2 linked regions of the Caenorhabditis elegans genome follow. The protein of the gene in region 2 interacts with the protein of the main gene of each other region in a biochemical or structural test. Each region holds a gene or a part of one and is shown on either strand. Other genes may lie near its edges.

Evidence for each region. Proteins that work in one complex are often made in the same cells at the same time.
Region 1: of the proteins of arrd-17 (region 2) and tax-6, one has a biochemical effect on the other in vitro, tested with the Caenorhabditis elegans proteins (one study listed by BioGRID).

The regions. Positions count from the first base shown.
Region 1 is NC_003282.8:10,495,049-10,503,085, forward strand, and holds the start of tax-6 (Serine/threonine-protein phosphatase 2B catalytic subunit), read right to left. Parts: upstream 6,013-8,037; coding exon 5,973-6,012; intron 5,488-5,972; coding exon 5,398-5,487; intron 5,150-5,397; exon of another isoform or gene 4,871-5,149; intron 4,662-4,870; coding exon 4,561-4,661; intron 4,514-4,560; coding exon 4,028-4,513; intron 3,708-4,027; coding exon 3,568-3,707; intron 3,520-3,567; coding exon 3,442-3,519; intron 3,366-3,441; coding exon 3,271-3,365; intron 3,169-3,270; coding exon 3,043-3,168; intron 2,998-3,042; coding exon 2,920-2,997; intron 1,495-2,919; coding exon 1,486-1,494; intron 219-1,485; coding exon 134-218; intron 1-133. UniProt on the Caenorhabditis elegans protein: Calcium-dependent, calmodulin-stimulated protein phosphatase. Dephosphorylates arrd-17. Dephosphorylates daf-16 at 'Ser-319' which regulates daf-16 nuclear translocation. Dephosphorylates calcium permeable cation channel pkd-2 at 'Ser-534'.
Region 2 is NC_003281.10:13,626,534-13,632,433, forward strand, and holds arrd-17 (Arrestin domain-containing protein 17), read right to left. Parts: upstream 4,276-5,900; 5' UTR 4,182-4,275; coding exon 4,101-4,181; intron 3,709-4,100; coding exon 3,618-3,708; intron 3,570-3,617; coding exon 3,436-3,569; intron 3,292-3,435; coding exon 3,121-3,291; intron 2,704-3,120; coding exon 2,567-2,703; intron 2,522-2,566; coding exon 2,269-2,521; intron 1,644-2,268; coding exon 1,473-1,643; intron 1,429-1,472; coding exon 1,286-1,428; intron 685-1,285; coding exon 585-684; 3' UTR 523-584; downstream 1-522. UniProt on the Caenorhabditis elegans protein: Involved in several behavioral responses including chemotaxis towards lysine and adaptation to repeated osmotic stress. In addition, plays a role in resuming egg-laying and locomotion after starvation.

The DNA.
Region 1 (8,037 bases), on a different chromosome or scaffold from region 2:
TTAAATTAAGATATATGTTATCAAAAATAAATAAAAGTTAACTAAAAAAAATGCTCATTCTATAATAGAAAAAAACTTTCTATTTAAATTCATACAAATTCGGTTTAAAATTGAAAAAAATTAATCAACTTACCGAAGAACTGAGAATGCTCTTGCCATCTTTCCAATTGCTCGAATCTTGTGTCGAATAACCTCTTTTCTTGCAGACCCCACTCCACCTGAAAAATTAATTTTTAAAAAAGAACCGTCAACATTTACAAATGACATGGCAACAACTTCAAAAGGGGTGACACCATTCACTGGCAACCACATTACCAATCAATAGAAATCCCCGAATGAAGTTAGAAAAATGTCAAAAATAAAATGAAAGCCATGTACATATATATTGGCTAATAGGTGAAAAATTACTACTTGTAAATAGTGTGAATATGGGGAGGGCAAAGGGGGTAAAAATTTGGGATTTTGCAATGTGCCAACCGTCACCGAAAATGATAGAGGTTGAGTTAGAGGAAACGGGTCCCATTGGGATTTGAAGGGATTACGGTAGTTTTTGTTGTAAATAGTTTTAAAGAAGTTTTATGCTCTTGGAAAAGAAAATTTATTTGTCTAGTTAATTTAACTACAATTTTTTATACAAAAAACTAAACTTGTTCGATTGTTAACATTTTCTTATTTCGTTCCAAGATTATGTTCCGTAAGAATAGCCAAAAAACTCATAGTTTAAAAAATCTTCTTGTCGAGTAAACATCAATTCTACTTTTACAATTTCATAATAATTTTTCAAATATACCGTAATATACTAATAAAATATAAAGTAACCTTTTTGAGAAAATATTATGTATAGAAAAAATATACACTTCAAGGTCTTTTCTCACAGGTTTGGGGAAATTTCCACTTTCTCATTTCTTATACCGTACCCCTAAAAATCCCAATAAAGACACCCATTTCTTCCAATTAGTAACTAATTTTTAGGGTGGGGAATCAAAACCAAGTGAGAGAATTTTGAATTTTAGACTGCTCGAATTCTTTCATTTTCTTCGATTTTTTGACTTTCTATTTTTTTTCAATGTTTAAAATTGGAATTTTCAGAATTTTTGAAAAGAGACCAAAACACAGGAGAAGACCAGGTTGGAAATCCGACATAAAACATGCAAAACACAAGGCGTTAAAAGTTTAGCAGCACACAGCCAAATGAAACAACTAAAACAATTATAATTAGAAAAAAGCAACGTATTTTTTTTTAGAAAAACGGAACAAAAAAGATAAGCAGAGCAGCCACATAAAAGTCAAATAAATAGAAAGCCGTATTCAGAGAGAAAAATAAAACAAACTAAGAAATGGTGTATAAGCGCCAAACGCCCGAGGTGGGTGTTGTTTAGGGTGTTCCGAAGAAAGTTTGGTAAAAAATTAAAGAAAAAATAAAACTAAATCTGATAGTCAAACATACGTCACCAGTGTGTGGTGGGTAGGGGAATATCCACTTACCATCTGCTCCTTAAAATTTTGATTAGACTTTTTCATTATTTTTTTGTAGCTAGTTTTGAGATTAATGTTTAGATCTTTACTGAGATTTTAACATTTAACTTTTTTAAAGGCGCGTGCGGTTAAGGAAAAAACGGACGGCTTGAAAACACAGTTTCTGACAAATTTGTCAAAATTTTATTGGATTTTCAGAACAAGTTCAAGCCTGCAACACTGGGAAAAGGTAACAAGTTTACCGACATTTCAAGGTTTTAGAACAATAGACAAAAATTAAGGGATGATGATATTCTTACGATGGCATGGTACTTCTGTCATTCAATTCTATTGACAAAATGTCTTCCAAGCCAAACATGGCTCCGGCAAATGAGCTCAAAATTTCTACAAGTAGTGCTCTGCTATGCTCAAGGTCAACAATACATGCGTTTTTTTCTCAATCGACATCATGGTTTGTGTACTAGTGACTAGCATTTCTACATCGTTCGAAAAACTATATTTCAATTTGAAGTGTGAAATCCTACAAAAAATTAAACCTACAAAGTGGCGCTAATCTTTTGAATACTGTACACATAGGGAGCGTATGACTGCTGAGAAATGCTAATTCAGATGAGTACAATAGTTACAGTTTTGAACTGAAGTAATCAATCATGTCAAACTGAAAAAGAGAACACCTATATATTTCAGTCATTCTCAGTCAGAGCACACACGCACACTCACACAGAAATATCAATTCTCATGCCAATACCTTTTTTCGTTTTTCCTTTTCTTTCTCATGGTTTCTTTTTCAGAGAGCTCAATCAAAAAAAGAGTAGCACAACATTCAAACAATGACCAAATATTCAAAAAAAGGGAGAAAAGAAGGAAAGAAAAAGGAAAAAAGAGAAGGAAAGGAAAAGGCAAGAAACTAGAGAGAAAAGAAGTAGAAGAGAGACAGAGAGAGAGAACCGTACCGGACACACAACACCGATTTTTGTGCATTTTTTGAGGTTTTTGAAGGAAAATTGGAAATATTCCTATTTCCCTTTCAAACTCTCAGTGCCTTATTAATTTTCAAACAGTCTCTCTTCTTCTTCTCCTCTCCTTAGTTTATATCACAGTAGGAGAAAAGAGTGATATGAGGTGAATAGGAACAATTTTCTGTTCTTGTTAAGATATACATTTACAAATATATATATAAATTAATCGAGCAAAAAACACATGTATTCCATCTCTTGGGGAGAACGTTTCAATGCGGCTTTTCATTTGCCAATTTGAGCCGAGCACAAGACAAAATCATTGAAAGTGTATAGAGACAAAATTGGCGGTAGAAGATTATTTTAATTTAAAAAAATTATATATACATAAATATTTTTTGTTGTGAAATAATTCATATTAAAGTGACCTAGTTTTTTACGCAGTAGGACCTCCTTTGAGGGAGCCAGTGCTTAATCATGAACATACCTTCAAAGGTGTCATCGCATTCAGCCATCAGCTCGTCGTCAGAACAAATGTTGAGAATGTGAACCAGCATCTCCGTTACTAAAAGGAAATCTCATTTGGTTTTCGACATATTTCTTGCTATACCTTTTTCTCCCACAAACGGCAATGACCACGTGAACACATCCATAAAGTTCGGCAGCCAATATGGATGAGGACTGCAGTTGAATTGACGAATATTCATCACATTGTTCTCGTACTTCAGGATGGCAGCTGAAAATTGTTAAGTTGTTTAATGTTTAATGTTTAATTTTCCGAATTTTGTTTTCTTTTTGTTTCTCCGTCAAAAAATGCCATTCCCATATTTCCTCTCACCTTTGTTGTTGTAGACATCCAAATAATTTGGAGCACTGAAGATGGTGATCAACGATGGGAAGCCTGTGGCTTGAGATTTGCGATACATGCGGTATCTGGAAAATAGAGTAGAATTAGAAAAGAGGATTAAGGTTCTCTTTTCGCATCTCCTGGCGACGGATAAGCTCTTACCCGGCATCTTGAGCTTCATGTGCGCGAATGATGGAGAGCAGATTGTTGTGTTGCAGGAAATCACAGCATGCAGCGTAGCTATAATATTTCGTTCTATTAAAATGAAGATTATAGTGAATGGGATACCTGTAAAAGTATGAGCACCCTCTAACCGAATTGTGACTAAATTGTTCTGAATTCCTTTCGTTTCCGAAATCTTCAAGTGGGTCTGACCAGAGAAGATCACACATTGGACCAAATGCTGGGGGCTCCTTGAATCTGTCTATCTGAAAGTCAACAAATTAAATAGACATTTAAGATATGGTCGTAATTTCGGATTAAAGTTAAACAGTACTTTAAAACATATAAAACAAACATATACCGTAAATTTTCTCTCAGTATTGCACCTAACTATTTCACTTTAAAAACTTCACTCGGTTCATGATACATATCAAAGAAATTAATTGAAAATATATTGAAAAAGAACTAACAAATATTTTGTTAATTGAGAATTTTTTGATAGAACAAACGACAACGGGTACCGTACTAATAGAGAAATACGGTATTTTTCAAAATATTAGTTTTAGATCTCATGTTTTTCACTAACCCTCCTGATATCCTCCAAAGTATGGATTTCTGGGGACAATCCACCATGAACACAAAGGAATTGTTGGTTCATGAGAGCTGCCAACGGTAGAGCATCAAATGACTCCATGCACACATCGTATACCCGTTCAGAGTACTTGATCTTGCATTCTTGTTTGAATGTAAAGTACTCTGTCAAATGACGGCATTCATGGTTTCCTCGAAGCAAGAACAACGTGGTCGGATAGCAGATTTTGAGTGCCCACAGATACAGGACACATTCAATCGAGAAGTATCCTCGATCCACGTAGTCACCCAAAAATAGATACTTGGTAGTTGCGGGCGATCCGCCAACTTCGAATAGTTTCATGAGATCGTAGAATTGACCATGAATGTCTCCGCATACAGTAACCGGCGCCTCGATTTCCAACATCGTTTTTTCGTTGCGGAACAGGCTTGAGCATTCTTGAATCACACGAATCGCGGCTTCTTCTTCTATCCTTCCTTCCTGCAAAATTGTTGATTTGATTATATTCTTAAAAATCTATTCCACACCTTAATAAAATGATCTCGAAGAACTTCATGCCTTGGTTTTCCAGTCCGCCGGTCGTAGACCTGATCAACGGTAAGGCGTTCGGAAACAGGAAATTGAACGGCTGAAAAATGAGAAATTAGAAAAAATATAATGTTTTCATTATTCCATTTTACTTCCGAATTCCTTCATCTTTCTATTCCCTTCTTCTATTTTTTTTTCAATTCTTCTCAAATTCCATGCTCTTCTCACGCTCATCTTCCCCACATGGCGCCCGAGCCGCCGCCGCCCTCCTAAATTACTATGGGAACCCTCTCAAGCGTTTCGGGATTAATTTTCGATTTCAAGCTACAGCAGTCACTCACTCCCCTTCCTTCCCGTCTTCTCTCACACACACGACGACGCCAATGACGGCGACTTCGTCAGAATCTTTTCGAATAGAAAAAGAGAATGACGGAGAGAGAATCAGAGAGAATAAGAACTCTCTATCTCTCGATATATTTTCTATGTGCCTGGTGAGCCGACGCGGAGCCATTGGTGAGCTCCTCAGAGCAACGGACCCGCGTGAGTCAGACAGTGAGAGTTTGCGCTGAGAATAGACGAGAAGAAACTCTCTGCGGCTCTGCAGCTCACGACGACAACGGGACAAGCAAAAAAAAAAATTCTCTGCGCGTATAATTTCTGGCTTCTTCAATGTGTGTGTGCCAATGTGAGGGTGGATGGGGGTGGTTGTGGTGTGCTGCGCAAAAAAAAAGAGAAAAAAAGAGCATGGCGCTTTTCTCCGTAACCTGAAGCAAGAAACACTTTAATTGGTTTTTCTTTTTCAAACTGCCGCCCGACTGCAGAAGCCAAATACTTACTCTTGACAAATCGTTCGGTGAACTGCTTCAAATCACGTTCGCGTTCACGATTGTTGTTCGAGGCGGTGGTGGTAGTGTTGGTAGTGTCAGCTGAAAAAATGGTTCTTTTCATGCATTCCAGATGAGATCCATTTTTCTTTCGCTAGATTTTTTCGGATAGAGACACCTAGAAAAAGGATGAAGCCCCCGACGACTGCGTGTGTGATGATGCACAACAACACTACAAATTCGATTTGTGTCTCTATTTCCTTCTAAAATCATTTTTCGAGGGGGCAAAAGGAGATAGAGGGAAAACAACAACTAATTTTTCGATAACATTTAAAGGTATGTAACGTGAAACGGAAACCAAACTTCAAAATAAATTGATTTGAAAAAATATTGTTCTTTTCCCGTATTTTCCCAATCAAAGAAAATGAAAATTCTAGTTCCTACTAAAATTGAAAATGGACTATTTAACTTTTTGAAATTTATTCAAAAAATGCTCAATGTTTGCTGATTTTAGCGATAGTCTTAAATTGCAAAAAATAAGAATAAAAACAATGGTAGTTTCAGACGAGGATTCAGTAAATACTTACGTTTAGCTGCAGAGTTCTGTCCTGCCGATGTCGAGGCCATTGTGTGTGTTTATATATTTAAAATTGATGATGACTTTTCCTTTTATCGACTGATTTTTTGTTTCACCTGCAATTCAAAATTGTAAGAAAGTGAGGGAAACTCTGGAAATGGTGTGGAGTTGCGCGGAGCCGAGTATCTTGGGGCAGCTGACTTGTATTCTTGAGCTCCTTTTTTTCCTTTTTTCTTCATTTCTCTTCTAGTCTCTCACGCGGCTCTCCTTCTCTCGCGGACACCATGGCGATTCAATTTTTATGACTTTTATGAGAGAGAGGCCAATACCTCATATATTTTCCTTTTTCGGCGCGCGGCGCCACTGACGGATCGGATGTATTTTGTTGGAAAATGAAAACGAACCCTTTTTGTTCAAAAAAATGAGTGAATGAGCTACTCTGGTTTGGTATGAACCCGTAGATGAAGCGGGGAAACGGCTATGTGTGGAGATGATGTAGCTTTGCGAAACAGTACGATACCCTCCTTCGGACCGTTTCACGTCACTTCTCTTCACACCACGGCACGACGGATCGATCTTTCACAGGCCTGCAATCAACATTTTGGTCAATTTTTGTCATACGGAGAGAAAAAGTTCAACATTTACGAATTAAATAACGATTATGAAAGAATAACGTCCCCGAAAAATAAGATGTTCCAATGCAAAGCTTTCCGTTCAATTTAACAAATTGATAGTTAAAAATTTAAATTCAATAAGAAAAAGAAAAGAAGCTTGACCAATCGAATAATTCAGATTGAAGGGAAAACTAGTTGTGCATGCCAAAAGGCGACAACAATGGGCGGGGTTCCTTTGGAAAAGACGAAGAAAAGGAACAATTGAGAATTGGAAGGAGAATCAAGAGAAATTTATTTGAGAAACATTACAACCAATTTATTAGCGAATTTTCTTAAAGCTAAAATGTCATCAAAATATGATTTACATCATTGAGAGAGCAACTATATAATTATTCTAGAGAACAAATTTATTCCGAACGTTTCTTCAAAAATATCTTAAACATCATTCATTTTTGACAACTTTATCAGGAAATTCAGCATCATCTTCAAAAAAAAAACAGTCAATACCACACTTTATTTTTTATTTCGCGAATTATTCAATTCTGACAGTTTCTCTGTCGTTTTGTCAACTGACAAAATAATTGTTCTGTTTCTATCGTTTTATGTATACTAGGTAGTGCAATACAAATAAAAAAAACGATATCAGTTGTAGTACTGTACAACTCTAAGTGTTTGTATTTAAAAATAGAACTTTCAAACAATTTTATAAGTTGAAAATGTCTTCTTCCTAGGAGCGATGTCATTTTCTAACTACTGTTCAACTCATGCTATGTATTGATTAAATCATTTATGAGCAGAACCAAAAACCCACATGACTTTGAAAAAGGGAAAGATCAAAAGTAATGGGCGGTGTGTGTTATCGATAAAAAACCTTTTTTCCCTCTGCGTGAGAGAGATGCTCTTTTTCTCTGCTTCTCTCTATCGATAAGGCACAATGAAAAATGAAAAGAAGCAGCACGGAAATTGGGTAAACATATGTAGCGATGCGACAGAAACGGAGAAAATTAGAGAAATAGACAGTTTCAGTTAAAGCACGTTTCAAATGTTGTCTAAAAATTATAGGTGGAAAATTTAGCAAAACCAGGCTTTCTACTCTCAAAATAAACACAAAAAAAAACAAATTTCAGACAAAAAGAAAAAGTAAAAAAAATCGGAAACTCTATGTATTGTAAAAACAGAACATGAAAATTCTCTAAACGACATAATAGTTCCATTCTTAAATTTTTAGTCATCACTAAGAAAGGCTTGTTGTTGTTGTTTATTCCTTCCAAAAAGATAGGTCCCTCTGGTATAATCATGAAAAGGGACAGAAACAAGGAGTCCAATAGATACTTCATGCATACAAATTTGTTGGTACGATGATGTGTATGCTGGGTAGGAGCTAGAAAGATAAGAGAACGAGTGAAAAGAGAGTGTTGAGATGTCAAAAGAAACAAAGATCCGCAATCCGTCGCGTGGGTC
Region 2 (5,900 bases):
AAAACGACACGAATTAAGTTTTAGCATTTAAAACCCCGAAGAACTTTCCAAGTTGAAAACAGTATGAAAAAGTAGGTCTCTCAGTGTAGGCATGAAAATGCTTGCCTGCCTCGTGTCTACTGTCAAAATACATGTAATTAGAAAGTAAAATTAGAAACGCGTAAATCTATGCAAACACCGGACACTTAATCATCACAGAAATCAGACTATAGGCAGGCAGGCAGGCATTGAAGCTCACTCACGAAAACTTTAAAAAGTTGAATGAAACTTATCTCCTCACACCCTATTTATAGATAAAAATGCAAAACAACAAGCACCAAAAACCGTATGACCGTCACCAATTGACGCAAACCGACAAGACATTGTGTGCTCTGAGAAGACGCAGACCTCACCACGGGGTTCAGGTGATAAGGCTTTTTAGGGAATTGTTTGTGATAGTGAATTAGGGAATCAGAAAATATGTTTTTTAAACTTGTTTTTTAAAAAAAATCTGAATCGAAAGTGCAACAAAATTTGAAAAAGCATGGAATTTATTGATTATCCCCTCCAAGCGAAAGTAACACTCGAGACAAAATGATAAAATATTAATCGGTATAAAATGGATATTTGGGCGCAAATGAGGCTTCACCGAACTGTGCTTGCTCCTTCTCCTCTGATATGTCACTGGCGCCGAAGAATGATTCTCTGAAAAATTTCAGGGAATTTGTAAAAACTATAAAAATTTTAAAAACTAAAAAATTGCGTATTGCGCAACATATTTGACGCGCAAAATATCTCGTAGCGAAAACTACAGTAATTTTTTAAATTACTACTGTAGCGCTTGTGTCGATTTACGGACTCGATTTTCGGAATAAATTAAAATCAAGCAAAAATGAGAAAATAATACGAAGAAACGAAGGAAAATGGAATATCTCTGACATTAAATATTTGTAAAAAAATTCATTTAGACAATCAAGCCCGTAAATCGACACAAGCGCTACAGTAGTCATTCAAAGAATTACTGTAGTTTTCGCTACAAGATATTTTGCGCGTCAAATGTACGCATTCCCTGAGTTTTGTGTTCCCGTAATAGAAGTAAAAAATTGTGGCAGCATATTTTTTTTCCTAAAAGGATAGTGCAATAGCTGCCAGTCTGGAGTATCAGTATGCGCGTAAGATCTGGCGAAAATGCGCGTAAGATATGGCGAAAATTCTCATCTTTAGACGTCTACGTAATACCAGAAAATCGAAAAATGAAAGTTTAAGTCCCCAATTTTAAAGCACCTAAGTTTTTGCCCGAACTCACTTATAATACGGGCTCGGCATTGTTGGATACAGCTCGCTGAGGATCGAGGAGGGCATTCGTACTCGTTTTCGAGCTGACAATAAGGCTTCCATTTCGTTGCCGAGTTCCTCCACCAGCTGACCACTCTCATCTGTGATTGTCACCTGAATTAGGCGTGTAAAACGTGTTTACCCTTGTAAAAACAAACCTGCACACAACTCTCGCTATCCCATTTTGGTGGACTATCCTTTATGGAACTTTTCGGTAAAGAGCCGTTGCCGGCACTCTGCACGGACTGTTTGGAATGGATCAGAAGTTGAGAAAGCTGCGGGATGGAACCAATGACAATTGGACACGGCACTGTGAGCGTTTGCTCGACCTAAAGAGCTAAGTGTTTGAGAAAAGGTAGCATTGTCAAATGGTTTTTTTTAGTAGAAACTTGCAAAAACTCATTAGTTAATATTTTCCAAAATTTCATATCTTGCCGGGGTTTTTCAATACAGAAATAATAATCTGAAAAGGTGTAGAAATTGTTATGTATAGTATTTGGCAGTTGATCATTTTGTGAAACTTTCCACCAAGTTAGAGGATGTATCAGAGCAAGTTCTTTGTAGGTGGTCAACCTCATCTAACTTTGCAGAGATGGCAGTAAATTGTCAACTAACATAAGATAGAACAGTAAATATATGTGGAATATTTTGTTCGTATTAAAAATTATGTTAAAAACCTTTCTCGTGAGTTACAAGAATTTGAATTTTTTTTTTGAAATTCGTCAAGAAGCTTTAAAGTTCTTCTAATGGGGTTACTCAAGTAGCGTCCGAAAATTAAAAAGTGTATAAAAATGACGTCAGAACTGTATTAAAATTCATAAAAACATGTATTTTAACACAGTTGTCCCGTCATAAATGTATTAAATACATTCCGCAACACTCCTTGGATAACCCCATTATGGGTCCGAAATCCGAGGAAATTTATCAATTATCTAACAAACTGGTATTACTTACTTCCAATTCGACCGAATAGGTAACTGACAGAATTTTGCATTTTCCCAATTTCGGTGGCAACGATGGGATTGTGATGGATTCTTCTTGCCATTCGGTGGTACTTCCACCTGGCACCTCTCCTTTGTCAATTTTTGAGATCACGCGAACCACATTCTTGATGTGCTCGTGGCCGGCGAATGTTTTGGCCTTGTACGTGGTTTGCTGCACGAATCGGAGAGCAGTAGTTCTAGTTTTGGAGCTCAGATTTATCACTCTACAAAAAATGAGGTTAACATATGCATTTAGCAAAAATACTAACTTAAAGCTGACATCTATCTTTTCTCCGGGAGTATAGCCGCACTTTGATATTCGAATTTCGCCGGTAACGCTGCCGGCTGACCGACAACAAAATGTGACAGCATGGTTGGATTCCACGCATGTGGCAGGCTCATTGAGCTGGAAATCGGGAAAATTGTAATTTGAAATCGGGAAAACCGTAATTTGTTCCAATTTGGAGGTTACACAAGATTAAAACCTTTTACCACCGCAGTGAGACGTGGTTGTAAATTGTCAACTAACAAAATAATCTACTCAGTTGAAAACTCGTCTAATGTTCTGTTCACAGGGGAGATTAAAGGCCTTTATGCTGACCACCAACTCTTGCAACTCGGCGAGTTGACAAAACACCAGCAAACTGTCAACTGGCAAACTATCTACAAAAAAATTAAATTTATTATAACTCCTTGAATGTCTGCATGCAAGATGTTTGATCCTGTGGCCCTACTTATCAAAAATTAAAAAATTATAAACTGATAATAAGTTTTTCTTTTAACTTGGCTCAAAAATGAGCCAAATTGACAAATACTTGCCTACCTTAGGGTCCGAATTAATATCTTCGATACCAACTACCGTAAACGCTTTTCTGCTAACAATATCAAAATCCCATGGTCGTTCACAAATGGCTTTGCATGTGTACCGGATGTGTCCGAATTCGCCTTCAAATGAGGATGGCAGTGATTTTGGCAAAGTGTACGAGAATGGGACCTGCAATATTTATATGGTTTGGTTAACTTTTGACAGTTTACACTATGTATACCATTCGAGATGATTCGACACAATGTACAAAATTCGAGAAAAAAGTGAAATGAATATTATCAATGAATGGTCAACTTTTTCACAGAAATTTACCTGATGAATGCCGGCGGGAAGTATCCTTTCCTTTTCTTTTCCGTCTTTTACAACTGTGAATTTGTGCGTGTAGCCAGGATTGAATTGCTCCAAAAAGTAGGGCTCCGAGTGAGAACAATGTTTTCGCGATTTTCCTGAAAATATTTAAAAAAAAACAATTTTTTTTCAGAAATTGCGCTTACCAGAATGCTTTGTCCAGTAGGTTCTTGCTCTGCCCTTCAGTTCCAGTAGAATCTCATTGACCTTTTTTGGCTCCTTATTTTCTATTATAACCTGCAAATTTTATTATTGCTTAAAAATTGAAATTCCTCAAAGTTTTCTTACTCACTTACTTAGTAAGTAAGTATATATCTTTTTTCTGGGCTTCTAGCGCCAACTTACAAAGTAAGCTCAATCTTACGACAAAACGAACAAAATAGAAAATTTTGCCGAAAGCAAAAACTCGAAATTAATAAAGATAATTTATTAAAAATTAAAGAGCTATTCTTGAACTTTTAAAATGAAGAGAGCAAGAGAGAAGCATATGTTGTATTATCCCATTCAACACTTCATGAAACTGCATCTTTATGTTGATGTTAGTCCATTCGCTTGATGGAAAAGCCGGAAAAGTAGGCAAATTGGTAACAAAAACGCTTGAAAATCAATTTTTAAAAGGGTACACCTACTTTTCCTGAGATTTCCTGACCGGCAAAATACGCCTGTTCAGGGTTGTTGAACAAAATTTCAAAACGATCTAACTGCACCATCTCCTATCTGTTGATTTTTGTACTTCTTGCCCGACACTTTTCTAATGTTTCCTCCAATTTATACAGATTTCATTATTTGTGCCGTTGCTGGAATCTGAAAAAATATTTTTATTTTGAAATTTTCATATAGAGTTAAGCAGAAAATGAAAGAGTTTTTGAACTCAATTATACGCAGTACACCGAACCTTACGGCAAAATTCACATATGATTTTTAAAAAATGTGAAAAGTGTCCCAATCAAGGTAAAACGTGACGCTGAGCTCAATTTTAATAACAAAAATACTTAAAAATTTCGCTTTCCGCCACTTTGCCTTTCAAGAAGCAATCAAAAACCGAGGAAAAACAACAAAAGAAATAAGTTGGAAGGAGGAAAAGTAGAGAAAAAACAGCAAAATGGCTCAGGCAACTCAAATCTAATATGAAAATATTAAATAGCAATATTTTTGTAGTAAAAACGAGAAATTGTGCGTCATATAAAGATTACTAAAAATTTCGAATAGATTTCAATTTTGTCTCAAAAGATTACAATTTCATCTCAAAATATTGCGAAAGTGTGAAAATTTCTAGGAAGACTTCCGTTTTATCTCAAAATATTACTAATTTGTCTCAAAAGACTGCGAACTAGTCTCCGAAGATTGAGATTTCATCTCCGAAGATTGAGATTTCGTCTCAGAATATTGCGATTTTGTCTCAAAATATTGCGAATTTGTCTCTAAATATTAAAAATGCATTCATCGACTATTCTAGAACTGTTTTGTGATAACTCGAAGAACTTTTGTTGCCATTGAGGGGAGTTGAACTTGTCCGTCGCTTGTCGTTGAGTCTATGAACCATTATCTTACCTGTTGAGCCATCCTGAACGTGTCGCATCTAGATTTAGTTATTGCTTAAGTAAATAGTTGATGGGCGCACGTCCTTTTCGTTACTTTTGATGGGAAATCAGTGACTTTTCGCAAATTTTCTAAGTGTCAGAGCGAAATTGGATAACTTTCTTTGACAGCGAATGTGGAAAAACGATTTTTTTGTTATGCTTTAAAAAATGTTAGAATTGCAATTTTTCCGAATTTTTGTCAAAGAGAGAATAACATTTTATTTTTTCAATATTTTTTTTCACTAACAATTTGATTAAAATGATGAGTATACTGGGAACATGCTTGCTGTTGACAATATTTTATGATTTCAATTGAAATCAAAAAATCTCAAACGCATCACGCGTGAATGAATAGTTGTAAGTCTACTTTAATGTATTCGACCAATCTTCGTGATTGTTTGACTGAATTTATAATATGACCGGCCAATTATCTAGAAAAAATTACATGAGTGGACAGATTTGTGAATTCTGTGGCTTTCTCTGCAAAAACTCCTTCTACAATATGCAACGAAAAATCAAATATCCGTTAACAGTGAGATACTCCATTATATAGATTTTCATGTAGCTGTTTTTTACTTTGAAAAGTCTTTTATCATTTGGAAGAAAAGAGAATTTAGAACGGAACAGTAATCATAATTGTTGTATATATCACGATCATGTGAAGCCGATGGAAATTTGGAAATGGTGTTTTGTAATCTTTATGGACTGCAAAAAGATTGCAAATTAATCTTAGAATATTACACATTTTTTTTGTAATATTTTTAGATTTCAGAAAGATTGCGAACCAATCTCAAAAGATTGCTTTGTCATCTCAAAATATTACGAATTTTTCGTAATATTTTCAGATTC